Linked DNA regions of Daphnia pulex. The protein of the gene in region 1 binds, or shares a complex with, the protein of each later gene. Links are inferred from orthologs where the notes say so. Each region holds a gene or a part of one and is shown in the gene's direction. Other genes may lie near its edges. The genes, in order: U4/U6 small nuclear ribonucleoprotein Prp3-like, U4/U6 small nuclear ribonucleoprotein Prp4-like, probable small nuclear ribonucleoprotein E, small nuclear ribonucleoprotein F, pre-mRNA-processing-splicing factor 8, small nuclear ribonucleoprotein Sm D2 and small nuclear ribonucleoprotein Sm D1-like.

What was found.
Region 2: U4/U6 small nuclear ribonucleoprotein Prp3-like (region 1) and U4/U6 small nuclear ribonucleoprotein Prp4-like share a complex: the UniProt entries of both Homo sapiens proteins name them as parts of the precatalytic spliceosome. The link is inferred for Daphnia pulex from reciprocal best matches to the Homo sapiens genes PRPF3 and PRPF4.
Region 3: U4/U6 small nuclear ribonucleoprotein Prp3-like (region 1) and probable small nuclear ribonucleoprotein E share a complex: the UniProt entries of both Homo sapiens proteins name them as parts of the U4/U6-U5 tri-snRNP complex. The link is inferred for Daphnia pulex from reciprocal best matches to the Homo sapiens genes PRPF3 and SNRPE.
Region 4: U4/U6 small nuclear ribonucleoprotein Prp3-like (region 1) and small nuclear ribonucleoprotein F share a complex: the UniProt entries of both Homo sapiens proteins name them as parts of the U4/U6-U5 tri-snRNP complex. The link is inferred for Daphnia pulex from reciprocal best matches to the Homo sapiens genes PRPF3 and SNRPF.
Region 5: U4/U6 small nuclear ribonucleoprotein Prp3-like (region 1) and pre-mRNA-processing-splicing factor 8 share a complex: the UniProt entries of both Homo sapiens proteins name them as parts of the U4/U6-U5 tri-snRNP complex. The link is inferred for Daphnia pulex from reciprocal best matches to the Homo sapiens genes PRPF3 and PRPF8.
Region 6: U4/U6 small nuclear ribonucleoprotein Prp3-like (region 1) and small nuclear ribonucleoprotein Sm D2 share a complex: the UniProt entries of both Homo sapiens proteins name them as parts of the U4/U6-U5 tri-snRNP complex. The link is inferred for Daphnia pulex from reciprocal best matches to the Homo sapiens genes PRPF3 and SNRPD2.
Region 7: U4/U6 small nuclear ribonucleoprotein Prp3-like (region 1) and small nuclear ribonucleoprotein Sm D1-like share a complex: the UniProt entries of both Homo sapiens proteins name them as parts of the U4/U6-U5 tri-snRNP complex. The link is inferred for Daphnia pulex from reciprocal best matches to the Homo sapiens genes PRPF3 and SNRPD1.

The regions. Positions count from the first base shown.
Region 1 is NC_060024.1:10,558,394-10,563,480, reverse strand, and holds U4/U6 small nuclear ribonucleoprotein Prp3-like, read left to right. Parts: upstream 1-2,111; 5' UTR 2,112-2,130; exon of another isoform or gene 2,131-2,176; intron 2,177-2,292; 5' UTR 2,293-2,375; intron 2,376-2,558; 5' UTR 2,559-2,595; coding exon 2,596-4,362; 3' UTR 4,363-4,467; downstream 4,468-5,087. Other genes in the region: serine/arginine-rich splicing factor 1-like, read left to right, coding at 66-199, 261-433, 492-534, 596-759; zinc transporter ZIP3-like, read right to left, coding at 4,567-4,676, 4,808-5,087. UniProt on the Homo sapiens protein: Plays a role in pre-mRNA splicing as component of the U4/U6-U5 tri-snRNP complex that is involved in spliceosome assembly, and as component of the precatalytic spliceosome (spliceosome B complex).
Region 2 is NC_060018.1:6,530,261-6,534,745, forward strand, and holds U4/U6 small nuclear ribonucleoprotein Prp4-like, read left to right. Parts: upstream 1-1,922; 5' UTR 1,923-2,062; coding exon 2,063-2,421; intron 2,422-2,480; coding exon 2,481-2,600; intron 2,601-2,663; coding exon 2,664-3,062; intron 3,063-3,122; coding exon 3,123-3,399; intron 3,400-3,489; coding exon 3,490-3,546; intron 3,547-3,609; coding exon 3,610-3,696; 3' UTR 3,697-3,808; downstream 3,809-4,485. Other genes in the region: splicing factor 3B subunit 4-like, read right to left, coding at 1-345, 405-449, 510-823, 889-922; tumor protein p63-regulated gene 1-like protein, read right to left, coding at 3,834-4,027, 4,099-4,226, 4,320-4,460. UniProt on the Homo sapiens protein: Plays a role in pre-mRNA splicing as component of the U4/U6-U5 tri-snRNP complex that is involved in spliceosome assembly, and as component of the precatalytic spliceosome (spliceosome B complex).
Region 3 is NC_060026.1:14,103,321-14,106,742, reverse strand, and holds probable small nuclear ribonucleoprotein E, read left to right. Parts: upstream 1-1,636; 5' UTR 1,637-1,761; coding exon 1,762-1,809; intron 1,810-1,889; coding exon 1,890-2,058; intron 2,059-2,117; coding exon 2,118-2,185; 3' UTR 2,186-2,324; downstream 2,325-3,422. Other genes in the region: serine-rich adhesin for platelets-like, read right to left, coding at 2,720-3,117. UniProt on the Homo sapiens protein: Plays a role in pre-mRNA splicing as a core component of the spliceosomal U1, U2, U4 and U5 small nuclear ribonucleoproteins (snRNPs), the building blocks of the spliceosome.
Region 4 is NC_060019.1:9,593,141-9,596,431, forward strand, and holds small nuclear ribonucleoprotein F, read left to right. Parts: upstream 1-1,902; 5' UTR 1,903-2,043; coding exon 2,044-2,049; intron 2,050-2,128; coding exon 2,129-2,257; intron 2,258-2,376; coding exon 2,377-2,508; 3' UTR 2,509-2,517; exon of another isoform or gene 2,518-2,559; intron 2,560-2,571; 3' UTR 2,572-2,753; downstream 2,754-3,291. Other genes in the region: phospholipid-transporting ATPase VD-like, read right to left, coding at 1-347, 547-850. UniProt on the Homo sapiens protein: Plays a role in pre-mRNA splicing as a core component of the spliceosomal U1, U2, U4 and U5 small nuclear ribonucleoproteins (snRNPs), the building blocks of the spliceosome.
Region 5 is NC_060027.1:2,052,782-2,056,820, forward strand, and holds part of pre-mRNA-processing-splicing factor 8, read left to right. Parts: coding exon 1-64; intron 65-299; coding exon 300-995; intron 996-1,261; coding exon 1,262-1,969; intron 1,970-2,204; coding exon 2,205-4,039. UniProt on the Homo sapiens protein: Plays a role in pre-mRNA splicing as core component of precatalytic, catalytic and postcatalytic spliceosomal complexes, both of the predominant U2-type spliceosome and the minor U12-type spliceosome.
Region 6 is NC_060018.1:305,006-308,566, forward strand, and holds small nuclear ribonucleoprotein Sm D2, read left to right. Parts: upstream 1-1,452; 5' UTR 1,453-1,623; intron 1,624-1,692; exon of another isoform or gene 1,693-1,724; 5' UTR 1,725-1,840; coding exon 1,841-1,845; intron 1,846-1,987; coding exon 1,988-2,243; intron 2,244-2,312; coding exon 2,313-2,420; 3' UTR 2,421-2,476; downstream 2,477-3,561. Other genes in the region: cofilin/actin-depolymerizing factor homolog, read right to left, coding at 242-244; proteasome subunit alpha type-6-like, read right to left, coding at 2,534-2,591, 2,654-2,864, 2,935-2,997, 3,058-3,213, 3,296-3,377, 3,458-3,552. UniProt on the Homo sapiens protein: Plays a role in pre-mRNA splicing as a core component of the spliceosomal U1, U2, U4 and U5 small nuclear ribonucleoproteins (snRNPs), the building blocks of the spliceosome.
Region 7 is NC_060020.1:8,496,060-8,499,876, reverse strand, and holds small nuclear ribonucleoprotein Sm D1-like, read left to right. Parts: upstream 1-1,734; 5' UTR 1,735-1,883; coding exon 1,884-1,897; intron 1,898-2,084; coding exon 2,085-2,161; intron 2,162-2,324; coding exon 2,325-2,525; intron 2,526-2,583; coding exon 2,584-2,669; 3' UTR 2,670-2,765; downstream 2,766-3,817. Other genes in the region: GPALPP motifs-containing protein 1-like, read right to left, coding at 347-502, 571-741, 829-1,302. UniProt on the Homo sapiens protein: Plays a role in pre-mRNA splicing as a core component of the spliceosomal U1, U2, U4 and U5 small nuclear ribonucleoproteins (snRNPs), the building blocks of the spliceosome.

The DNA.
Region 1 (5,087 bases):
GTAAAAGAAATTATGACAAACAAGTAAAAATCCTAATTTAATTTTTCATAATATTTATTTTTTAGGGGTAGTGGTGGTCGAAGTGGAGGAAGAGGTGGTGATGGAGGTAGAGGAGGGGGTGATGGTGGGGGTAGCAATGGTGGAGGCAGGAGTCGAGGGCCACCAGCAAGAAGAACAAATTACAGAGTCATTGTAACTGGTGAGTTAAACATTTAGTAAAGTTTTAAACCATCATTTAAAGCCACTTTTGATATTCACAGGTCTTCCTCCTACTGGATCATGGCAAGATTTAAAAGATCACATGAGAGAAGCTGGTGATGTGTGTTATGCTGATACCTATAAAGATGGAACTGGAATGGTTGAATTCCTTCGCTACGAGGATATGAAATACGCCATCAAGAAATTAGATGACTCAAGATTCCGTTCACATGAGGTATATTTTCTACAAATCTTGATAAACAAAGTTTTCAAAATTATTCGTACGTTTACAGGGAGAAGTATCATATGTGCGCGTTAAGGAAGATAGCGGAGACGGTAAGTTATATTTCAATTTTTGTTTAAAGTAAATATTGACCTTGAATTTTTTCTTCTATAGGTCGCAGCGGCGGAACTCGTGATCGATCGCGATCTTATTCTCCAGCCGGTGGTGGCGGCAAAACACGTGGAAGTCGCGGCTCCCCCAGCTATTCCCCCGTTCGTCGTGGTGGTTCATATTCCCGTTCGCGCTCACGCTCACCTCGTTCCAGATCACGATCTTAAAAAAGTTATGGAAACGAGAAAAAGGCAAAACTAAACAAAAAGACAAAAGTTGTGCGATGTGGACAACAAAAAGCTTAAGGATTGGAAGGACTGGAGGAGGAAAGGGGTCTTTGGTATTGTCTCCATGGTTCATACTATATTTTCAAAATTCTTAGATGAATAGCAAATCTTTTAAATTGCAAAAACCAATTTTTTTTTTTTTTACAACAAGCTACATCAAAGATTTCAATTTTTTATGAGAAACTCAAAATATGTTTCTTGGGTTATGATTTTGGCATTTGCAATTATTGCTACTAATCATTCAGTTTCTTCTCGACGTACACGTAATCCTTTTTGGTTTCGAATACCCTCAGAGCTCCCCGATTCCAACCAACTAATTTTTTTTTTTCCGTGAGCAACCTCATCCTTTCCTTTTTCCCCTCCCTCTTGTAATACACAAAATAGCTGTGCGTCGAATAAACATGATTCTCATTTTCTTCCCCTTTCTATTTGTAGCGTACACAGCAAGGTTATTGCTCTCTCTGGATGGGATTGTTGTGGGATTTGGATTGCATTGGATTTGGATTTCATTGGAATGGATTTGGATGGATGCATTGTGGATTGATAGGTGACAGGATCTGGAGGATATGCTGGAAACAGCAACCGCTTCTCCTTTGTCTACAACCGTCGTGGTGAATCGCTGTGGACTTGCCTTGTCAGGACCCGTTTATTTTAAAGAGATCTGTTGGACTCCGGCACTTTGGAATTGAGCCCGACCTAAGACAAGAGTTAACTTAGGATTGCTTACCCTTTGATTTTCAGGCACTTTTTTCATCATCATACAGAGAAAGAAGAAACCGACGGATGACGACAAAATGGAAATAATACATGCCTTGCAAATGGTGATATTTCCTTGGAGTACAAAGAAATTCCTTCGATGTTTACCGATACTTCTGTTTTCGGCACATTGGAAACAGTATTACCATTTTAATGACAATTTTTTTATGTATGATACGATTTAATACAACCAGTGAAATGCTTTTGAAAAAAAAATTATGACCAAAATTATTCTGTTCTCTAGACTAAAACAAAAATTTGATGACGTGTTTAAAATACAAAGTTGCTTTTCGTCTTAAACACAGAAAGAACAATTAAAACAATTCGCATTACGATTACTCACCATAGAAACTTAACGTAGAAACTGTTTCAGAGAAAAAAAATAGGTTTTTGTTTAGTTTTGATTTCTTTCTAAATTTATATCTCCTTGTCCTTGGAACCAAAAATGAGAAACAAAAATGCTTTGAACTTGAGCGCTTGCTTCTTCTTTTTCTTTTTACGAAAGTCCCAGTACTTCCTTAAGATTCCTCTAGATGGCGTCTTCGCGTTGCTTGGGTAACCAAAAACGTATAAAAACGTACAAATTTTCCCCCAAAATAGTGTAATTACACATTCACTTTGAGCATACTCAAAAAAACATATAGTTTGAAATTATATATTTGTACAGCGTTTTGAGTTTATCATCTGAATTTCTACGATTTTTCTGTGCATCAATAGGCTCTTATCGGTTGTTAACCGGTCTCTAAACAGAGCAAGTTTAGACCTGCAGTTACGAACTACAGTGGAAGATTGAAGCATTGGTAAGAATAATTTTGTTTTTTCTTCAATAAACCGATGATTTTATTTCACAATACATTCGTCATTTGTCATAGATTAAACATTGTTAGAAGATATTTTCAGTACGTTGAAAATTGTCACTATAATAACATTGTAGCAGAATGTTTCTCTTCAGTAAACAACAACTTTTCTTTCTTTTTTTTTAGGCATCTGTGATATAGGTTTTTTGGGGTATTTCCAATCATGGCTACTACAAGCATAAAAAGACCTAAAGAAGAAGATTCACTCGATGGACCTGGTCGAGAAGCAAAAAAGTTAAAATCACGATTCCAGGATGACAGCAATGGAGATGGAAAGAGTGACCAGGATACTACTGAACAACTCTCTTCTTCTCAGATTAGAGAAATGATGATGAATGCTCAAAAGATGATTGAGGAAAGGAAACGATCTCTCAATCAACCGCCAGCTCTTCTCAAGACTACCCCAGTGCTCTCATCACTTCCAACACCTGTAGCTCCTAAAGCCGTTCCCCCATCTTCAATGGATGAGCGTGCCAGAAAGATTGCTGAACTACAGGCTCAAATTCAGTCAAAACTAGCCACCTCCACTTTAGCCACATTGAACTTGAGTCTTCCTAAAACAGCCAGTGTCCCTGCATCAACAGGGGAAGGGTCTAATAATGAGCCGAAACCTGGCCCACTTATTCTCAACGCTGATGGAAGGACAGTTGATGCGACTGGTAAAGAGATTGCCTTGGCCCAATACACACCAACTCTCAAGGCAAACATTCGTGCCAAAAAACGCGAGGTGCTCAAGACTCACATGGGCAAAGGATCTCAACAACAAAGCGAGGAAGCGGGAAATTTGACGGAAAGTCGCTTCTTCGATCCACGTGTTGCAGCCAAATCCTCCGTGAGAACACGCAGAACCTTCCACTTTCACGAGCAGGGCAAATTTCAGCAAGTGGCATCTCGAATGCGAATGAAGGCTCAGTTAGACAAATTGCAAAGCGAAATCTCTCAAATTGCCCGTAAGACTGGCATCAATTCAGTCACTGCACTTGCTCTAGTTGCCCCACGAGTTGGCGATCGTCAGGAGGAGGAGGACATTGATTTGGAATGGTGGGACTCGGTCATCTTGCAAACACGAAGCTACGAAGGCGAAGACGGACAGCCCAATTTACGCCAGGAGACGATTACCAATTTAATCGAACATCCCATCCAAATGCGTGCTCCCACCGACCCGCTGGCCTTGCCCTATTTGCCCGTCTTTCTCACCGAGAAAGAGCGCAAGAAGTTGCGCCGCACCACTCGACGTGAAAATTGGAAGGAGAAACAAGAAAATATCCGTTTGGGACTGGAACCGCCACCTCAAGCAAAAGTTCGAATTTCTAATTTGATGCGCGTGTTGGGCAACGAAGCCATCCAGGATCCAACCAAAATTGAAGCTCACGTCCGCGAGCAAATGGCCAAACGACTTCAAAATCACCAGGAGGCAAATGCCTCTCGAAAGTTGACGGCTGACCAGCGACGCGAAAAGAAGGAGAAAAAGCTCCAAGAAGACACGACAACGAGCGGTGTGCATGTGGCGATTTACCGGATCAAGGATTTGTCCAATTTATCCAAGAAATTCAAAATCGAGACCAATGCCAAGCAGCTTTACATGACGGGATGCGCAGTCATTTTCAAGGACGTTAACGTCGTTATAGTCGAAGGAGGCCCTAAACAGCAGAAGAAGTACAAACGCTTGATGCTCAATCGCATTCGGTGGGAAGAGGACGCCGTCAAGGTTAGCAAACACGACACTGGTTCATCCTCCCAGCCCGAAACGCGGAATTCCTGCCAGCTCGTTTGGGAAGGCACGACCAAACAACGCAATTTTGGTGACCTCATCTTCAAACTTTGCCCATCGGAGGTTGTGGCTCGAGAACATTTTCGCAAACACGGCGTCGAACACTACTGGGACCTGTCTTATTCCACAGCAGTGCTGGAAGAAACTGAAGAAAAGTGATCGGTTTCATTCTGCCATCAACTTTAACTCTTTATTTTTTTCTTTTCATTTTTGAACCAAACGTTCATCTTTGAATATTACCATCAATAAAAAGATTTGTCTTTATTTCTTTTTTTTTTCTTTTTTTGTGTACAAAAACGGGGAATGTTATACAGGTCTTCGCAGGAACATGACAGAATATATCCTTTGACGCTGGGCAGCTTTTCAGGCACTCGGTGAATAGAAGGTGTAACGTGGTGTCGTGACGGGTTGCAAAACAAACGATAATCCGACAGTTGTTTGTGTTTGGTGATCTGTTGTTGGTTCTCCGTGACCTATGACGCAGCATAAGGAAAAAGGTGGTATTTATTAGACTAGTTCGTGATTGTCATTTCTAACAGATTTTTTAATAGTTTCCTTTTCAGCGAAATTGAATTTAGAATTTTTTTAAAAGGAGGAAACTAACCGCCCAAGGCTTCAAGTGATGACAGGAGGACAAAGCCGACGAAAACGGATAAAAGCTTAATTAATCCATTGCCGGATTTCCTTCGCTCGCGTTCCAACACTTCGAGAAATGTGACGTAAAGGAGAGTTCCGGCTGCGACTCCTTGAAGGATGCCGATGGTTAACGTGTGAGACGGCGTAGGATCTTGAAAATATTCCGTGACGAATATTCCAATGGCCACTCCGATAGGAGTGATAAGACCCAGTGTGACCATGTAGGCAATGTAAATGCCTACACGAAT
Region 2 (4,485 bases), on another chromosome or scaffold:
TGGAGGCATCGCCATTGTAAGTCCTTGCAACGGAGGTGGGGGAGGTGGAGGCAATCCTGACATTCCCATGTTGCTCATTTGCGGAGGAATAGGAGGGGCATCGGCAAAAAGTTGATGAGGCCGATCTGTCTGAGCAAGAGGATTTTGTGCTGCCAGAAGCCTTTCTGCTGCTGATCCATGGCGTTCACCCTTAGAATCCTTCTTGAAGGCATATGATATAGTAATTGGCCTATTACATAAATATTGGCCATTCATGGCTTCAATGGCAGCATCAGATGCATCAAAACTGGCAAAGTTGATGAATGCAAAGCCTTTTGAATTCCCTGTTGTAGGATCCCTCATGATCTGCATTCAAAAAAACAAAATAGTAAAATTTAAAACCCCAACAATGATTTCAAATTTACCTTTGGTGTCTGAAGAATTACGCCAAATGCTGAAAATGTGTCATACTAAAAAAGCAATAATAGATTAAATTGTGTTTTGAACCTAAAGGAATGCTGATTGGTTACCAAAAGTTTTTCATCAACTTCAGGATCTAAGTTTCCAATGAAAATATTTGCTCCAACATCTAAGTTTTTCTGGTGTGCTGATGCTTTGTTTACCCGAATGGGTTTACCATACAGCTTTATCATGTTCATAATTTTACATGCGTAGTCAGCATCATCTTCACTGAGGAATTCTATGAATCCGTATCCTTGATGCAGTAAAGTAATCCGATCTTTAGGCATATGCACATTTACTACAGGACCACCTTGAACGAACAACTCCCACAGCAAGGGCTCCGTAACTTTTTCGTCTAACCCACCAACATAAATGGTAGCATCTGAAAATGATAAAAATTTCACATAGTCATTTCATTTTAGTGCATAATAAACTTAAATTTCTTACCTTGATTTCTTTCTGAAACAGGTCCAGCAGCCATGCTGAAAGTAACCAAATAGTTTCCACCTGAAATTTGCAAACTTCCAAAATATAAAATGCTTGTTTGAGTGTGTCTGCCTTGTATTATTGAAGGCCGGTCAAGCGATCAGTTTTCCTATGCCAGTGCTTTTGACTAACCAAGCTCCAACTAGATGACGCCCGGAGCTAAAGACCGGCCCACACACTCAATAGCGGCAAGGGCGGAAGGATCCGACAGGTTTTCAAATCTTAGTCTGTGTGGTGTCTTGTGTCTCTTTGCAAATTGCCAAATTCCAATAAATAATGCCGTGTTTAAGCATGTATAATTATATCCGGAAATCCTACGAAATACTAAGAATATAAAATTTCTGTATCTAAAGCGTTAATAGAATACATCCTTTATTCCTTTCCCTCTCATACAGATCTTTATTAAGAACAATTCTTTGTAGTTATTATACAGTTTTCTAAAATTAGATGCATAAAATGGATAACCAAATTTTGAACTGACAATCTGATATTTCAAACATCATTTTTGGTTATGTCCCTATACTAGGCCTAGTATACTCCCTAATGTTTCCGTACACCAAATTGGCCTGTTACACAGTCTGTTACACAGTCTGCTGCATGTGTAATCGATCGCATATCAGGCATTTTATGCTATTAACAACTGTATGCTGAGCTGAACCTCAATTTTATAGGTTGCAACAAAATCATTTTTGGAAAAAAATCCCAGATGGGCATGTGCTGCACTATGAGTGCGAATAATTTTTTTCTAATCGAAATCACAAATTGGTAATATAAACCGAAGATTCAGTATTCAGGTATTATTCAGACTGGCTGTTTTGTATATTAGGTAGTGTAATAAATCACACATCATAATTTAAAATTTCTTTTGCGAGCGGCAGTTTATTATCCGAAGAATGAGTACATGGAACATAGTTTTCCAGTTTTCCACCAGTGGCTCTGTATGCTGCACATGATTTTTTCATACCGTAAGTCGCTTTTCGTTTGGGAGTCGTCTGGCTTGTAAAAGTCTATTTAAGATTTAAGAACGATCGTATTGACAACAAAAACGTGACAAAACGAGGTGTCGGTGTCTATAATATTTAAACATTGAGATCAAAACAGGAAAAGTTCAATTAGAAAACACATTTCTTTAAACATGTCGTCCACAACCGGTTTCGCTATCACAATTGACGATGGGGAAATTCGGAAACATCTTAGGCAATTAGGTGAACCAATAACCCTTTTTGGTGAAGGACCTGCTGATCGCCGAAATAGATTAAAAGAGTTACTCTCGGTTCATGGACATGATTTGATCGATAGAAAAAAAGAAGATGAAAAAGAAATTGTGAAGGTTGAGAAAGATCAAACTGAAACCACTTGGTATCATGAAGGTCCTGAATCACTCAAAATTGCTCGTTTGTGGTTAGCATATTATTCCCTCCCCAGAGCAAAACAAAGGTTATCTAATGTGAAACTTGAATCTGAAATACCAGAATCAACAAGAACAGCCAAAAGGTCTGAAATATGCTCTGTTATGAAAGCACATCCCAATTAATATATTTTTTCTTTTCCAGGCAGGAAATGGTGAAACGGATGAGAGGTATGAACATCATGTGCAGCCAAGTTGGTGATGGAAGACCAATATCATATTGCCAATTCAGCCCAAGTGGAAATTTGTTGGCCACTGCCTCCTGGTATTAAATATTCTGAGATTGTAAGAGAGTTAATCAGATAATAAAAAACAATTCATGTTTTAGGAGTGGCCTGTGTAAATTGTGGAATGTACCTGACTGCACTTTGTCTCATTCATTGAGAGGCCACAAGTGTAGTGTTGGAGCAATAGTCTTCCATCCACAAGCCACCTTGAGCTTAGAACCTTCAGAATTAAATATGGCTTCATGTTCCATGGACGGCGCAGTCAAATTGTGGAATTTAGAAAGTGAAGAGCCGATTGCTGATATGGAAGGACATGCTCCGCATCGAGTGTCAAAAGTTGAATTTCATCCTTCTGGAAGATTTTTAGCTACATGTGTTTTTGATAATTCCTGGAGGCTATGGGATCTAGAACAGGGTGTAGAAGTTCTTCATCAAGAAGGGCATTCCAAACCTGTATACAACATAGCATTCAATGTTGATGGTTCAGTGGCTATCACAGGGTACCAACACCTAAAAATATGTTAACATAATATTTTAATTACATGTGGAATTTTTTCTAGTGGCATGGACTCTTTTGGTCGAGTATGGGACCTCAGAACTGGGCGCTGCATCATGTTTATGGAAGGTCATTTAAAAGGTGTCTTGGGCATCGATATATCACCTAATGGCTACCACATAGTAACTGGAAGTGAAGACAATACCTGTAAAATATGGGATTTACGTAAGAGATCCTGTATCTATACTATTCCTGCACACACAAATTTAGTGTCGAGCGTGAAATTCGAAAGAAGTTCCGGACAGTATATTGTCTCATCTTCATATGACTGTACCGCAAAGGTATGAATAATCATTAATAGATTTTCTTTCTGCATTCTTTAAATGTTACATTTGTCATCTATATATATTTGAAATAATTTTCTGCCCTAGATATGGGCGAGTAACACTTGGCAACCATTGAAAACCCTTTCGGGACATGACGGAAAAGTAAATTTTTTAATCAGATACGTTTGTGATGTGTTTCTCAATTTTTTTATTTTATTGTTACAGGTTATGGCAGTTGATGTATCGCCTGACGGGTCGTTCATCGCCACAGCCTCGTACGATCGCACTTACAAGCTTTGGTCCCCTGAATAAATGTAGAAGTATAGAGTGCAGCTTCGAAGACGACCATGCTTGTTTGATTTCTTTATTTGTGTATTGGACTTCGAAAACATTAATAAATTAAATACAAAAAAGTTGAAGCCTATTGGTTGGGAAGATTGGGTGGAGTATTAAAAACTTACTTTCCCTCGTACTTTGTAAAATCCGAATTGACTGTAGTTGTGTACTAATGCTGGAAGCCCTAAATACGAATTCATTATAATTGGCTTGTATTCAACTAAACCCTGGTACTCGTTTTGCAAAGTTCGCTGTAGGTTGACTGTAAAATCTTTAACGTCGAATATAGCAGGAGTCGTGTGTTCAGCTAAAATTCATAGGTAAAAATAAGAGTTAACATCCATCGAATAATGATTAACAGAATTGCAATCTTTTTACTTGAAAGTAGTGGATGCGATAAAAACGTTAACCAGGGAATTGCCTTGCTCCATGGATTCCATAACTGGGTAAAATTGGGTTCTGCCGGCACGGACCCAAACAAAATTCGGACGCCGTTTCTTTTCAATCTAATTCCAAAGCAAGAACTTTCTTGAAAACTTTTGTTCGACATTTCTACATTATAACGTATCAATGTGTCATGTCTGATTTAGTTATGTTACCTGTCGGAAGTGAAGTCAGTTTGAGTTTCTTCACCTGTTGAACGTTTATGTAATAGCTCCGATGCCGATTGACTATTAAAGTTACCTCGTAGAATAGACGAGAATCGTCCTGTTATAGAATCTGCGAGGTATTGGAATTTCCTAAAGTATATTCATATAAAAATAC
Region 3 (3,422 bases), on another chromosome or scaffold:
CAAGACTATTGCCAGGATAACTTCCTCTGATTACGTCGACGTCAATCTCACTCTCACTATAATCAAATGGTTTGAACAACACTGTGAACTGAGTTGGCAGACCCACAGAGAAGACTGCGCCCTAATTAACTACTTCCTAATTTCAGTAACTTGACGAGACTTGACGAGACTTGACGAGTTTCAATTTCAATTTTGCACTGCAGACGAACATTTGTGAGAAGAAGCGGCGATGCCAATTTAAATGTAAATAGACTTTCTTTTCTTTCTCATTTTTCATGCCAACGTAAAATTTGAAAATTGACTTTTACCAATTTTGAATTAAATACTGTAGGTGAGATGTGACACAGTGACACACTTGGCAAATTAAAACCGTATGTTTTATAGTTACGTCAGAGAATGCCCTCGACCCCTCGTATGAATATGTCCTTATCTTCTTTTTAAAAAAATTATTCCACGAACAGAACAGCGAAACTCATTGTGGATCCCAAGGCGAGAACAGCCCAAAAGTTGACATTAAATGAAAAGTATTAGCAGTATTAGCTGTGATTCTGTGAATTTTTCCAAGCAGCAAGCATCAGTTGTTGTAAGGAAAGGAACGGCAGATCGGCGCAGAACGGCCACACGCCACAAGGCCACAGCCCACAGGCCCAGTCAGCAGAGTAATAGAAAAATATATTAATTCTACAGGTTTTTTGGCATACGGGAGGATTAGTTCAAATTTCGCCAATAGATGGCTTTTTGGAATTTTGAACTGCGCGCGTAGAAATTGGAAAACGGTTTGAACTGCGCGCCTCGAAAATGAAAAACAGTTTGAACTGCGCGCGTAGAAACTGGCATCTAGGCTCTAGCGACCAAAAGTAAAAGTTAACTGGCATCTATCTAGGCTCTAGGCGGCCTAGAGCCTCCGCCACAGCACACACCTAAGTCACACCCCAATGTTTGAATGTTTGACATAACTTTTGAATGTTTCGATATGTTTTAATTGATTTCGATATGTATTATTTTTTATTAGTATACGATTTCAAGTAAAAATATCGAAATAACTTAAACGAAGCGTAAGAGAGGGTGGGTGTTGTGGTTTGGTTTGTTCTAACTGTTTACAGATTTATCTGTAACTATAACTAATTATTTTTTATTTCATATTGCTTATGAAAATAATAAATTTTGCTGTTACTTAAGCTAAAAAGAGAGTGCGACGTGGGGTGGCGGGGCGAAGCCTCCGCCACACCTAAGTCGCACCCCTTATGATTCACAGATATTTTTTGATGTTCCGATAGGCCTTGTTTGATTGATACTATTTAATGTAAAAGTATAACAGTAATTTAAGCGATTAACGAAGCAAGAGGGGGGGGGCGGGGGTGGCAGGCGAAGCCCGTCCCCCCTCCCATTCACCATACCGATAGATTCATGTAATTAATTTTGAATTTCATGTTTACTTTACTTTTGCTTTTTTAAATTTTTAATTGATATTATTTCCTACGGGAACCTCGCAAACCGGAACGGGATGCCAGCATAAAAAAAGTAATATTCTGTTACTCTGGCTTGGCTGCTTGGCTGCTTTGCCTGCTTGCCTTTGCCGCCCTTGTCTTTTTGAAAAATATCGGAAAATCCCTACGAGGAAATAAATATCTGGCAACGTTGTTGGCAATTGAGCGTCTGTGTTCGTTTCTTCTTCAACAAAAAGTGTAAACTCAAACAACTCTCATTTAGAAATTTGATAATTTTCCCGTGTGGAATCAATTAAATATCAATTCAAGATAAATGGCAGCCCGAGCACCTAAAGTCCAGAAAGTGATGGTTCAACCCATCGTAAGTTTTCACCACTATCACTTCGATTTCAGCACGAAGATTTATTAACCGGCACGTGTGTCAAAAATGTCTTTTTCCAGAACTTGATTTTCAGATACCTTCAGACAAGATCAAGAGTAGACATTTGGCTTTATGAGAACATCAACATGCACATGGAAGGACACATTGTTGGATTTGATGAGTACATGAACATTGTTCTCGATGATGCAGAGGAAGTCTACGTCAAAACAAATGTCAGAAAACAGATTGGTAATGACGTTTTCATTTACTCACAATTATTCTGTCTTCTAAATGCTGTTTTATTTTAGGACGGGTGTTGCTGAAAGGTGACAACATTACTCTAATCCAAAATGCTGCAGGAAGTGGAGACGACTAATCTTCCTATATTAATTGGTCAGAATGCATTCCCAATTTGTGTTCTGTCGTGTATTACCTTTGATTAACGGGGAACTGATTTTGTGTACATCCAATCTTGATGTGCTGACTGATAAGAAAAACATGATGCTACAACCACACTTGAATATTTCATTCTCAACATCTATTTATTATTTTTTAGTTTTATATAAATTTCCCTAGTAATATTTTCCAATATTTATTTTGATGAAGCCTAGCCACTTTTACACATGAAAAATGTCTCCGGCAAGAGAATAATTTACACAATGACAAGAATAATCATGTTTTGAAAACAAGTCATTTCATGTGGACTACAATAATAAAAATAACCTATTGCACAACATTGTGTAACCACTTAAAATAGAAGGTACAAGTATAAAATCAATAAAAGTATCAATGATATCAGCCTGTTAGGTGGGGGGTGTACAACATAGCAAAGAGTGAAAACTAGCAAAATTTCAGACCCTAAAAATAAAGTAGTGTTTAAAATAATTACACATACATAATTATCAATTTATTATGACACTTCGATAACAGAGAAGCTGTTGCAATTCAAACTGGAATTGCTATTGTGTCTAGAACCGCAGCCCGAAGGCGAGGGTGACGGGTTGGACGACGAATCTTTTATTATTTTGCTGTTGTTATTATTATTCGACGTAACCAAGACTTTGCCATCCAGGGCTCCGCATGAATAGCGTTGCGTTTGACTATCGCGGCGTGATCTGCTGCTGGCCACTCTCAACAAGACCAAAGTCTGTTGCTGGCTGTCGCTAGTTTTACCGTTAGTTTTATTCAGTTCCAATTCCAAATGGATGTTGGTCGGTAGTAGACCATCTTGGTTCATTTGATCCACAATGTCGGGGCAGCTTTTGACGCGGCAAAGTCCATACATCATCAACGATTCGCCAACAACATCTAAAACAAATAAAAATCGTAAAAAAACAAAAACAAAATAAACTTTTTAAAATGATGATTAGACTATAAGGTAGAAACTACATGAATCAAAGAACGTGTGTGTGTACATAAAGCGGAAGCCAAAAGCCGAAATAAGTGAGAGATTTAAAAAATAAAATAGTTTTACCTCCATCAACTGGAACGGAAGAAAGATAGGAAGGAAAATGAGAAGCCACCCGGAAGAGAGAGAGAAAATAAATTGTTGTGTGTTTTGTTTTTTAAAATGAATTTTCCTTTTTTTTTTTTTTGGTAACACCACAATAATT
Region 4 (3,291 bases), on another chromosome or scaffold:
TGGTACGACAGTACGCATTCTGGGAGGCTCAGGAGTTTTTGCTTGCCTCCAGAAAAGAAATCGGTTAACCCATGGGATTCGGGTCTGTCGAATCGTGTAAATTGATTCCGTCCTAGAAGCTTGCCGTGAATGGCCCTTAGTGAAGACATCGTTTGACAGGGTTCGGGAAACCTGTCTTTTGTGTCTAGTACCATGGACTGCACCACTGGTTGTTCGATCCTGGTGGCCAGGGGGCAGGAGGAAATCCGTCCGAGAACCAGTCCGACTGTGTCCTTTAGTAGGTTGGACTTGCTGATTAGGAATCTGACCTTGAGATAATGCTCTAGTATGGCCCTGGCGTAGAATTCCTATTAGTAAACAAATTAAATGTGATTATGAGGAATTAAGTAAATCAAAATAGTTTTGGAATAGCTATGGTAAATCAAATGCATGGTGGAAATACCAAGAAGGTTTTATCAATGAAATGAACAAAATATTTAATTAAGATAACAGGAATTACAAGTCTTCTTGCTAAAGAAATCAAGAGTGCTGAAACCTTAAAAATACCTGTATAAGGAAGTTTTAAAACTGTTGGATTGGCAGAAGAAGCATCTTGTGAAGATCTTTCCCCTTTATTCAATCCTGAAGCTGCCTCCAATAATCCAATTGCAGGGGATGGCGAAGAGGGCTGTGGATGTAATGTTGGATTCAATAAGGAAACTCCGATGACACCATGACTTGCAGAGCGAACATGTCCCTTAACTCCACCCGGCCAACCCCTGCTTGGCAGGGGGTTGACAGTTTCAAGCTCTATTGGGGGTTGCATCACATCAGGAAAAATGTAGGTGGTACCCGGTGAATCAAAATCCATACCGTCCCTGAAAATGAGAGAGTACCAAATTCAATTACAATTGAATTTCTTTAACCATTCACGAAACTAACTGTCAAGCTTGTGACTACCAACAACCAACTCAAAATCAACACAAACTTCTGAGCAATGGAAAAGGGAGAGTTATTTACTCACCAAACATCTTATTTCAATATTGCTGAAAAAGACAAGTCAGCTTTTGTTTTCAAAAAATGTCCATGGCAGACTAAAATCAACAAATCGTCTTAACAGTGGAACGATTGTTCGTTTATTTGGTCCAATGATGGAACCCAGTGAGGAAATGGAAGAAAAACAATCGGTTGGAAAGTGACGTCAACTTTAAAAAAAGTGCAAAAAGATGAAAGAATGGTAAGATAGAGTTTAGTGTCAGCAACTGAGCAACTTGTTGTGTGTCCACGTATATAACGGCAAATTCCAGCTGTGCACTGCTTTCAGCCTCTGCTGCATACACCGTACAAGCTTTACTGCCAGATTTTACACTCGGTAACCGATAATAAAGGAAATTGCGCGGAATGGACACCGGAGTGAAATAAGAAACCGGTTTGTTGACCGTTTAAAAGCTTCCAAAATGTAAAATTGAACCTAAAAAGTCTTTCTGTATCAAGACAAACTGTGATAAATTCCTATCTTTTTAATTCCGCGAAACGCAAAACCCTCTTTTATTACTTTTTAGAGAGCGCTAATTCTGGTTGTGAAGCTTCTCTGTTCTTGCCAATTTGTTAAAAAGACTTTTCATATCCACGACCACGAGTCACTTATTAAACAAAATCACTTAATAACGATACATAAAAAAAAATTCTCCTTTGGTTGTAAATTTTTCCAGCTATTATGATTGAAAACAGAATAGGTGACGTGAGTTTTTGGTCCGGAACCAGAGATCCGGGATCGTTGCTCTACGATGGATATCTCATTACATTACATCAAAAAATTATTTAAATAATCCTATTTTATAAGGTAATTTTAGTTCACTAGTTATTAGGTTTAAATATGTAAATTTCTTTCCTACAAAATGGAAAAACTTTCTCAAAATTTGATGTACTTAATAAGACGACTTGGCAACCCTTACTTCTGATCTTTACGTTACAGAACGTGTAAACTGAAATAACGCGGCTTGACTCGCTTGTCAAACATTCAATCAAATTTTGTAAAATCGTTGACTAAAACAAATACAAATCATGGCAGTAAGTTCAAAACCTAAATCTTGTTGGGTGGTCCTTTTTAGCCGACCATTTACTAACATGTTATATTTCATATTTTCAGGCACCCATGCCCATCAATCCCAAACCCTTTCTCAATGCCTTAACCGGCAAACCGATTATGGTAAAACTGAAGTGGGGCCATGAATACAAAGGTTATCTCGTTTCAGTTGATGGATACATGAATCTTCAGGTACTGTAATAATTATACCATGTAGTGCATTTTCATCAGTAAAAAAATGAAAACATGCTGTTGCACGAAACAGTGTGCATATATGAACAATGGCAATAATTCTTCTTATATTATCACAGTTGGCAAACACAGAAGAATATATTGATGGAAGCTGTACTGGAAACTTGGGTGAAGTTCTTGTCAGGTGCAACAATGTACTTTACATACGTGGAGTGGAAGAAGATGATGAGGAGGGAGAAATGAGAGATTGATTGCTGTTTGTATTGAATTTTTCATCCTTTAATACATAATGTCATTTCCTATCTATCTCATAGAAGTTATTGTATAGGAAACCTGGAAACCCTAAAAAATATGTTCTGGTGTATACATTACAAGATTCCCACAGACAACGAAGGACAAACAAGTAAAAAAACAGCTTTTCAGTATCCAAATTCCAAACACAGAACCGTTGTCTACCGTATTGGTGATTTAATGTTAAGTATACTGGAATTTCTTACGTTCCGGCGATTTTTTCCATTTAGTCGGAAAATAAAGGCTTTGTCTAAATGGAAAATGGTTAAGCTACCTTATGAATGAAGTTAGTAGGCAGCCCGCAGTCCCGCATGCTCGTAAAACTCAAGTCACATTTCTTTTCCACTTACACCAACTTGTTCGTAAATATATTTTGTAAGGTATAAATCAAAAAGGCAAACAAATCCGGAAACACCTTTTCCGATTGGCTCACGCTGGTACCAGCTGATGTCATAAGAATACCTAATTGCTTATGAATATTAATTGTTCAATACGTTTCAATTGGCCTGCATGTAACACGGCTGTTAACACTATAGGACGGTAAGCATGCGCAAGTTATCACTGTCGTTTGAACGTTAGGGGAGTTATAGGCTGTTGAACTCCGAGATGAATTACTACGGTTTGAAACAAATAATAAACATTGTACAAATGTACGTTCCTAACTAGACAACGAAGATTAAAACGTTACTGTCAGGATCACATTTAAGCAGGCGCAGGTGATGAGGTCAGTCAACTTCTTGGTT
Region 5 (4,039 bases), on another chromosome or scaffold:
GTCCTTCAAGTCGACCAAATTCTTCCAGCAAACAACTTTGGATTGGGTTGAAGTCGGCCTCCAGGTAAATATTAAACTTTTTCCTGTTAAGAGTCCTTTATAATGATGAGTTGTGCAGGGGTCATGAAATTACCCATAACATGTTAGGTAGACATTGAAAGTCGGGTCTGGCCGTTTGCTAGCCAACTTTCGATGGGACAACGCACTTACTGATATTAACAATCCTCTTAACTTCACATTTCATATTTTTATATCTCTTCCCAAAGACTTAACCCATTTCTTTGTTTGAACAAATTTAGGTCTGTCGTCAAGGATGGAATATGTTGAACTTGTTGATTCACAGGAAGAACCTCAACTACTTACATTTGGATTACAATTTCAACTTGAAACCCGTCAAGACCCTTACAACCAAGGAGCGTAAAAAGTCACGTTTCGGAAATGCTTTCCATCTTTGTCGTGAAATCCTGCGTTTGACGAAGCTGATCATCGACTCCCATGTCCAGTATCGTCTCAACAACGTCGATGCTTTCCAATTGGCTGATGGTCTTCAGTATATTTTTGCTCACGTTGGTCAATTGACTGGCATGTACCGTTACAAGTACAAGTTGATGAGGCAGATCCGAATGTGCAAGGATCTTAAACATCTTATCTACTACCGCTTCAACACTGGCCCAGTAGGAAAGGGTCCCGGCTGCGGTATTTGGGCTCCCGGATGGCGCGTTTGGCTCTTTTTCTTGCGTGGTATTACCCCATTGCTTGAACGATGGTTGGGCAACTTGTTGTCGCGTCAATTCGAAGGCCGTCACTCAAAAGGTATCGCCAAGACTGTCACCAAGCAGCGTGTCGAATCCCATTTCGATTTGGAACTTCGAGCTTCTGTCATGCACGACATCCTCGATATGATGCCTGAAGGTATCAAGCAGAATAAAGCTCGTACCATCTTGCAACACTTGTCTGAGGCCTGGAGATGCTGGAAAGCCAACATTCCCTGGAAGGTGAGATCAACTTTTAATTTTCATTAGATGTAATTTCACTTTTCTAGGGACGGTCAAGCCAAAAATGATGAGTTGTGCAGGGGTCATGAAACCGTCCGCTGGTGTTGGACGGACGTCTAGGTTGGTGCTGGCCGTTTGCTAGACGACCTAGACGGGACAACGCACTCACTGATTGAAATCTAGATCTTAATCTTTAATTATTTTAACTGACATTTGATACTTACGTTTTCAATAGTTTAAATGTTCTTTTCTTTTAATCATGTTAGGTCCCTGGATTACCAACGCCCATCGAGAATATGATTCTTCGATACGTCAAGATGAAGGCTGACTGGTGGACTAATACGGCTCATTACAATCGTGAACGTATTCGTCGTGGTGCAACTGTCGACAAAACAGTGTGCAAGAAGAATTTGGGACGTCTGACCCGTCTTTACCTCAAGGCTGAACAGGAGCGTCAGCACAACTACTTGAAAGACGGTCCTTACATTTCGCCCGAAGAAGCTGTTGCTATCTACACCACCACTGTCCATTGGCTGGAATCGCGTCGCTTTGCTCCAATTCAGTTCCCTCCGCTGTCTTACAAGCACGATACTAAACTGCTCATCTTGGCGTTGGAGCGACTTAAGGAAGCCTACAGCGTCAAATCGCGTCTCAACCAGAGTCAACGTGAAGAGCTCGGTTTGATCGAACAAGCTTACGACAACCCGCACGAAGCCTTGTCGCGTATCAAGCGTCACTTGTTGACGCAGCGAGCCTTCAAAGAAGTCGGTATCGAGTTCATGGATCTTTACAGCCACTTGGTACCTGTCTACGATGTCGAACCGCTAGAGAAGATCACGGACGCTTATCTGGATCAGTACTTGTGGTATGAAGCCGACAAGCGTCGTTTGTTCCCACCCTGGATCAAACCGGCTGATGCTGAGCCACCTCCATTGCTAGTTTACAAGTGGTGCCAGGGCATTAACAATCTGCAGGTAAATTTGCTCGTCCATTTTACAAATGTTCAGTTTTTAAGGTTTATTGGGCGGAGAAATGATGAGTTGTGCAGGGGTCATGAAGCCGTCCGCTGGTGTTGGACGGACGCCCGAGTTGGTGCTGGCCGTTTGCTAGACGACTTGGGCGGGACAACGCACTCACTGATTCAAATCTAACTTAACTTAAGAATTTGATATATCGTGACCAAACAATAAAGATTATTCTTTTCTGCAGGATGTCTGGGAAACATCGGATGGCGAATGTAACGTTATGCTGGAGACGAAATTCGAAAAGCTGTACGAAAAGATCGATTTAACATTGCTCAATCGTCTTCTGCGTCTCATCGTGGATCACAACATCGCCGATTACATGACAGCCAAGAACAACGTCGTCATCAATTACAAAGACATGAACCATACAAACTCGTACGGTATCATCCGTGGTCTTCAGTTCGCCTCTTTCGTGGCCCAGTACTTTGGTCTGGTACTTGATCTCCTCGTCCTGGGTCTCCAACGTGCATCGGAGATGGCGGGTCCGCCGCAGATGCCCAACGATTTCCTCATTTTTCAAGATGTGGCCACCGAAGTCGCTCATCCCATTCGGCTCTATTCGCGCTACGTCGATCGCGTCCACATGTATTTCCGCTTCACGGCTGAAGAGGCTCGCGACCTGATCCAACGTTACCTGACCGAGCACCCTGACCCCAACAACGAGAACATTGTGGGTTACAACAACAAAAAGTGTTGGCCGCGTGACGCTCGAATGCGCCTCATGAAGCACGACGTCAATCTTGGCCGTGCCGTTTTCTGGGACATCAAGAACAGGTTGCCGCGTTCCGTTTCCACCATTCAGTGGGAGGGTAGCTTTGTCAGCGTCTACTCCAAGGATAACCCCAACTTGCTCTTCAACATGGCTGGATTCGAGTGCCGCATCTTACCCAAGTGCCGTATGACACATGAAGAGTTTACGCATCGCGATGGTGTTTGGAACTTGCAGAATGAGATCACCAAAGAGCGAACGGCCCAATGTTTCTTGCGCGTCGATGACGAGTCGCTGCAAAAGTTCCACAACCGTGTCCGTCAAATTTTGATGGCTTCCGGGTCCACCACTTTCACGAAGATCGTCAACAAATGGAACACGGCGCTGATTGGTCTCATGACCTACTTCCGCGAATCGGTTGTCAATACCCAGGAATTGCTGGACTTGCTGGTGAAGTGCGAGAACAAAATCCAGACTCGTATCAAGATCGGCTTGAATTCAAAAATGCCTTCGCGTTTCCCTCCCGTCGTATTCTACACCCCCAAGGAGTTGGGCGGTCTTGGAATGTTGTCCATGGGTCACGTGCTCATCCCTCAGTCTGATTTGCGTTGGTCCAAGCAAACGGACGTCGGCATAACCCATTTCCGATCGGGTATGTCGCACGACGAAGATCAGCTCATCCCCAATTTGTATCGTTACATCCAACCGTGGGAAGCCGAGTTTATCGATTCCCAGCGAGTCTGGGCTGAATATGCACTCAAACGTCAAGAAGCCTCTGCACAGAACCGTCGCTTGACCCTTGAAGACTTGGAAGACAGCTGGGATCGTGGTATTCCTCGTATCAACACCCTTTTCCAGAAGGATCGACACACTTTGGCTTACGACAAAGGATGGCGTGTGCGCACAGAATTCAAACAGTACCAGGTGCTGAAGCAGAATCCCTTCTGGTGGACTCATCAGCGTCACGACGGCAAACTTTGGAACCTGAACAACTATCGTACCGACATGATCCAAGCCTTGGGAGGAGTTGAAGGTATCCTTGAGCACACGCTCTTCAAGGGAACCTATTTCCCCACCTGGGAAGGTCTCTTTTGGGAGAAGGCGTCCGGTTTCGAAGAGTCGATGAAGTACAAGAAGTTGACTAATGCCCAGCGTTCCGGTTTGAATCAAATTCCCAACCGTCGGTTCACTCTGTGGTGGTCGCCAACCATCAACCGAGCCAACGTCTACGTTGGTTTCCAGGTCCAACTCGATTTGACTGGCATTTTCATGCACGGCAAAATCCCGACGTTGAAGATTTCCTTGATTCA
Region 6 (3,561 bases), on another chromosome or scaffold:
TTAGGGAATTTCGCAACCTATGCATAGAGATGTGAGCTTAGACGAAATTTTCAACCGAGGTGAGCTAAATTCAGAATGGGAAGCCGGCCCCCCGCCAAGCCTTGCCGCGTTCGTCAGTTAAGCACACACAAGGATAGAACTTTTCTCCCTGAATCGAGGACTTTGGGACAGAAATTGGAAGAATTCCACACGTATACAGCAAACACATTTCTAACGACATGACAATATCAACGTTACTCACCATTTTGGACTAAGAAAAAAGTCTAGAAAAATTTCACGCAAAGCTCAAAGACGCCTAAACTGAAAGATCAACCCGAATGACTGCGGGATGAGACGGCACTGGGGGGAGTGAGTGGTGCGAGTGAGAGAGAGAGAGAGAAAATGCCCTCGATAAGATTTTACTCGTGGCGCGGCGAAAGAAGAGGGGAAACTCAGAGTAGACTTCTCTACACCGGCCGGGACCTCGCACTGCAAAATGGCGGCTGTTCCCCAAACTTGAGAAAACTTGGCGCTACCCAGTCCACACCCAGAAAAGCGCGTCATCTGGGGGTGGAATACAGCGCCGTCAAACGATGCCTATTTCGAACCATATTACAAACTTCACTAATTTATCACAAATAAAACATATAATGATAGGCGCATCATTTATCATTTTAAAAATAATTTGTATGACTCTTATTCTGTTTGCTGTTATGTAAAATCTCAAATGTCGTTAAATGAATTCGGGTAACCGCCAGGGGTCTCTGCTTGCTTAGCGATTGAAGGATGATGCCGATTGTAGAGAATTTTGTGTGTACTGGTTGCACATTCTCTGATTGGTTGTCCATATCGGGCGCTTGTTAACCCGAAAAAGGGGAGCCCAAACCACAAACCTGGAGAGAGTTACGAAAAGTAACTTTTTCTGTAAAATCCTCTACTCGCAGATTTTTCTGCTTGAGCAAAAAGTTGCCGACTCTAAATGATCATTCCGACTTCCTAATAAATGGTGTGCATCTCGCATGAGTGTTTTAACGAAAAAAAAAAATTATTGGGCCAGTTGCACACTTATTCTTTCATTCAGTTTCTCGGGGAGGATGACCTTTTATGGGCAGACATCGATGACTCACATTTTTACTTCCCCTCCCTCTAATCTGCCCTCCCCTCCCCTATGTATTAAAAATCTGAAACTCTCGGGACCGGTGTCGACAACTTTCTCTGTTTCTATAATTTAGACCAAAAAGTTTCAATTGCCATAGATCGCCTTCGCACAATGAACAGCCGATAACAGCGTGATTCGAAAGTTTTCGCCGTTTCAGGATGACTTATCAACAACGCTGGAAAGCGTTCTCCATTGGGGACCATGAGAAAGAATAGTCTGTGCATACGGGGGGAATATGTCCATATATGGCATTAGACAAGCTATGCTACATAACATAACATCTGTCGGCTGACAATTGTCAACCGCTTCGGTTTTCTCTTGACTCTACTTTCTGAGGTTTGTATTTCCTTTCCTCTCGACTAAAACGAATTCCAGTACAGAGTCCCAGACGTCTGACGTCTGGGATTGTAAATGTTTTTCTTGGCAAATTTCATTCTTTTCTTTTCACAACAATTATTAGAAATTGAAACGTGTCTCTTAAAAATGTAAGTCAACATTAAAAAACAATTTTTGGCAATTAAATCGCAAATAAGACATAAAATAGCATCAACCGTCTAATGCTAATTAATACAATATGACAACGCAGCATGTACGTTTTGTTTACGAAAAACAAGTGAATAACGGTTTGAAAAGTTAAACGAAGCCGGGCTCAAAAATATTCCAAAGAATATTTCTCTATCCGTTTACATCCTTCTATTTATCATGGCGTAAGTAAAGCTTAAGTTCAATTTCAAAATAGAAAATTTTTAAATCTATATTTTCAGCTAGTTACAGTGTTCCGTGTCTGCAGATTTTTCTCTACTTGACAGTTTCGTATGAGCACTAAATAATAAATGTTTCTTTCCATAGGGCTGTTGCAAATAAACCCAAGTCGGAGATGACACCGGAGGAATTGGCCAAACGGGAAGAAGAAGAATTCAACACTGGACCACTTTCAGTTTTGACTCAGAGTGTAAAAAACAACACTCAGGTCTTGATCAACTGCCGTAACAACAAAAAGCTACTGGGACGTGTTAAAGCTTTTGACCGTCACTGCAATATGGTTCTAGAAAATGTCAAGGAAATGTGGACTGAAGTTCCCAGAACAGGGAAAGGAAAGAAGAAGGTAATTTTCACTATTTCTGCATTCATTCATTCATCTATCAACAGTGACAGTTGTATATTTATTTTATAGAGCAAACCAGTCAACAAGGACCGTTTTATCTCCAAAATGTTCCTACGTGGAGATTCTGTAATATTAGTATTAAGAAATCCTTTGGCTGGTACTCCTGGAGCAAAATAATTGTATGTGTTTATCTCTCACTTTTGTATGAAATAAAAAAATCGAACAGCGGAAAATGTGTTTTATTATCTCGTTTTATTCCAATGTTGAAAGAAAAAGTTACAAAATCAAACTTAATCTTTTTCGGCAATTGCAGTCAGATGCTTATCGATGTCAGTTTCCGACAGAATTCTATAACAATCAGATCAGTCACATTAATTTCCTAAACTTAAATATTTTGCGCATTTTCTTACCTAAATCCTGGTTGATCCTTAGAAACAACTCCAATTTCAATATCAGATGGCTTGAAATCAGCAGTTAGGATATGAGACAGAGTTGTAATAGCAAGCTGGATAACTTCATCATGTGTGTAGTTTTGTTTCTTTTTGTATTTCTTCTCAAGATACGACGATGCCTCGGTTTGTTTAACACCCACTGAAGTAGCACGATAACCACAGTAATATCCTTGAAAAAAAAGTAAAACAGCAATAAAGCATACAATTTGAGAACTTTACACCCTATTTTAGATATATACCTGCTGGGTCAGCTTTGTATACAGCAGGCCCCAATTCTTCATCATATGCAATGACAATCATACCTAAACAGGAAAAAATTAAATAAAACTCCATTACAACTTGAATTACTGAGGAAATCTTACTGCAACCAAGGGGACGCATTTCAGCATTCTGGGTGTAAACCTGGCAAATGTCTGCAATACGTTTGCACAAGACATCTACAGGAATTTCATAGCCATACTTGTATTTCCAGTTTGCAGCTTCATACCGAGCACGCTGAACCTGAGAACGAGCATCAGCTAAGCAGAAAAATATATTTAATAGAATACATTTTGCATGTCTTTGATTAGAAAGAAATTGTCAATTTTGAAATTAACAGACCTGTCATTCCAGTCATAACACATCCAATGTTAGTAGTAATTTTGAAGATGTGAGAAACAGTGGATGGATCAATCAACTTGTCCTGTTAAATAATTGTAAAATGCCAAATTCAGTATTTATAGTTAAATCAAATGGTAAAATTGATTGTAGAAAATTACTTACAGGGACTTTCTTTTGGGTTACAACAACAGCAGTATCAGCTCCTTTCAAGGCAACTGAAGTGAGGCCACCTTGATTTATTGCTTTGAATGCATATTCTGTTAAAC
Region 7 (3,817 bases), on another chromosome or scaffold:
TACCAACATTGGAAAATTGAATGTGAGTCTATCGGAAAATTGTAAAGCAAACATCGCGTGGTCGATATAATCTGAAAATTAACGTCCCTGTCCTGTGCTAAATGCTTTGAATTTGTCGTAGGAATAGTATGTATTTCTTCTAACGGAAAAAAGAGGTTGGAAAAGAAAAAGTTTTGTGTGGCCACAATAGCAAATATGTAAGTCGTTCAATAGACAAATATTTATAATTAGAGCTGCAGCTCACCATGATATCAACAAATTTCAACTTATAGTCAAAATTTGGAAAAACGTTATCACCTGAACCATATTTTGAACCAAGGTTTGAAGCTATGAAATTACACTTTATTTAAAGGTACTTTTGATTCCCAATTTTGAACTTTGAATTTAATTCTTGGGACTTCTTAATTAAGGATTTCCGCTTTGCATTATCGAGTTGATTCAGTTTTAAATCTTCATCACGATCAAAAGGTTTTCTTTCTTTAGGACCGGACGAGTTGTCTTTCTATAGAAACAAAAATCTTACTTCAAATTACCCCAACTTTAACAGCAAAAATAAAAATGTAGGATTACCTTGCTTTTCATTTCCTTTTGATGTGTCTTCAACAAACTCTCTGACCTCTTCTTGGATTTATCATGCATGGCCACAATTTTCTCAAGCTTCTTATTCCTTTTTTGTTCCAAGTATTGTTTCCTCATTTCAGCTTCAAAATCCTCATCTTTTTCTTTGGATGTACTAGGCTGCTAAAATTATATTAATTAAATTATAGAAATTAGCAATGACCAGCTAAGAAAATTTCATTATATGTGTATCTATTGTACTATCTGAACCTTGGAAGTTGGTGTTGAAGTCCATTGATCTCTCCCTACAACCTCAGGTTTGTCAGAACGATTAAAGACACGAGGTCCCAGGCCAAAGTTTTTCCTTTTCAGTTCTGGAAGCTCAATCATCCAATCTTCTCTTTTTGGTTGCTTGTTGGCTTCATCATCATCCACACCAAGCAACTTCCTCTTCATCTTAAGAGCCCGCTGTTCAATGTCAACTGATGAACTATGTTCAGCATCCATACAATCAGCTGGCAGTGGTCCAATAACTTCATCATCTGATGAAGAGTCAACTTCATGATTAACAGAGCATCCTCTGTCATTGGAGATATTTGATTGCACTAACTTGCTGGACACTTTCTGTGATTTTAAATGAGCGGGAAGTGCTGGTCCGTAGAGATCACCTTCATCAGAATCTGAATCATCATTTTCATACGCTGTTTGAAGATGAGGAGGTAATGTTGGTCCGATTCGAGACATTTTGAGAGGGAAAAATTAAAACCACGCGGGAAATTGAGAATGCGTTACCGACAAAGAATTATTTTTAAAAAATCGAAAATAGGTGAAACCGAAACCCAATGTTTAGCTTACTGGAAATGCTGTTATAGTATGCAGGCCTGTCTCATGTGTTTTCTGTTTTGGAGTACGTTTTATTGTCACTCATGTCATGCCACTTGTGTTCTATGCGGTTCTATGATACGCTTCGATAATGCTTCTGGATTTATGAATTTATTTTGATAAATAAATTTAAAATAATAAAAAAAAATTATTATTAGTTAATTTTTGATTAAAATATGCAAAAATAAACCTTGTCTAATAACAAAATTCAAAATATTTGCGTAGATGGCGCTACGTTACAAGTACAAAAATCATAGTCATCGACCGTTATGAAATATGAAATGTCACAGGGCCTTTTTAGTATAAGTTATGCTTCCAACAAGCAGTTTTGGTTTTTGACTAGCGTACCTCGTGCGTTTCACTAAACTAAGGATTAAAACATTCAATAAGTCGTATATGGTGATTTACTTTATTACAGCCATCAAACAACAAGTTTATCAAAAATGAAATTAGTGAGGTAAGTTTCGGAATATGTTCATTGTCAAGTAAATTCGTACAGAAAGTAGCCACAAAAATCGGTTTGGTCTGGGTATTAAGCCGGTTGTTGGATGCGTCTGGGAAACTATGCCGTTTCTATATTTCACAACTTAAATAGTTCACTGCTTTCAATTGAAATAAATACCATTATTTTGTATAATCCTTAGGTTTTTGATGAAACTGAGCCACGAAACAGTCATTATTGAATTAAAAAATGGTACTCAGGTTCATGGAACAATAACAGGTAATTCAATTTTGTTGTCTTTATTCGATTTTTTATTTTACTGCAATCCTTAAATACTTTCTTCGAAAACTTAGTGAAATTGCAAACACATAAGTGACATTTTAGAAGAAAAGTTTTCCGTTTTGTATATTACTAAATTCATTCATTTGATTATGTTTTATAGGAGTTGATGTTGCTATGAACACTCATTTAAAAGCTGTGAAAATGACAGTTAAAAACAGAGACCCTGTTCAGCTTGAAACTTTGAGTATTAGAGGAAACAACATCCGGTACTACATTTTACCTGATTCACTTCCTCTTGAAACCTTACTATTGGATGATTCTCCGAAAGCCAAGGCCAAGAAGAAGGATGCTAGCGGTAGAGGTAAACTTTTTTCCCCTTATCACTGTGTTCCTCTTTTCATTTTCTTTTCTTTTTTTAGCTCGTGGAAGAGGCCGTGGACGCGGAGCTGTCAGAGGAGGACGTGGACGAGGACGTGGACGTGGTGCTACTGGTCCTCGACGCTGAAATTTGTAATTTCCAACGATTTTCCATTTTTTTTTTCGTTCTTTTCAGCAAATGTGGAATCAGTTTTCATTTGCATTACAAATTGTCATTGTCTTATATGTTTTTTGGTCAGTTGAAAAGTCCTTAAAACAAACACTTTTTTCCCCACAGTTGAGTCTGTATGAGAATTATTTATCAATTCCAATTGACTCCCATGTAAGCATAGATAATTTGTAGAGAACCGTCAATTCCTTTTCTTGATTTATAAGCGGACATCGCATAACGTTTCCTTGCTTATTTCAAGAATATTGACTATTCTTGCCATTTTGTCAGAGGAGTCGGGGAAAAAACAAGTGTAAAGAGCGGTGTAATAAGTAATGAAAGTTTGATGGAAATGAAAGTTAAATTACTTTTCTATTAAATTTAGACTAAAACTATTCAATTTTTTGTGACTAAACCATTAAACTTTAATTTAAATTAAGAATGTCGCAAATTTAAGGAAAACTTGACATGTTTAAGAACAGTCGTGGCTACAAGTTTTATTTGCTTTTGTAACTTCAGTTTAAGAGGTATTTGCGTTTAAGAGGCTTTCGGCGATATCTGCTCCTAATTTTCTATTATTCATACATAGAATGAAATGCAAAATTTGCATTTTCCTCGTTTTCCCGCCAAGATACAAAATGAAACTAGCAATGTTTCTGTTTCGAGCACAGGTTTATGTTAACAAACTATTAGAAATTAAAATTGAAAACAACCTTAAGACTTAAGTCCTTACTGCAAGGCCATTTGGAATATTCGTAACAAAAACTCAAAATCTGAAGCGTAAAAAACAATAGTGATGTAATTCAAACCAAGGTTTGATTTTCTAGTCGTCAAAGAGAGGGCCAGCTTGATAAGACAAAGATTTGTGTTAAAATAGTGCACGTGTTGAACGTATCCACATTCAACGTTGAGAATTGTTTATCATTCCGTGAAGCTCTTCCATTAAGAATCGTATGTAAATTTTTTTAACTGAAATTATTGCAGGGCAATGGTAGCAAACTTTAGCTACACGTTTTATGCTTAAATCAGCTAATGTTAATTTGAGAGTTTTCGTAACTGTATATTTGGACCACTATGAGAATATAATTGGCTATCGTTAGACGATGTCAAACAAGTGTTTTTTTTTT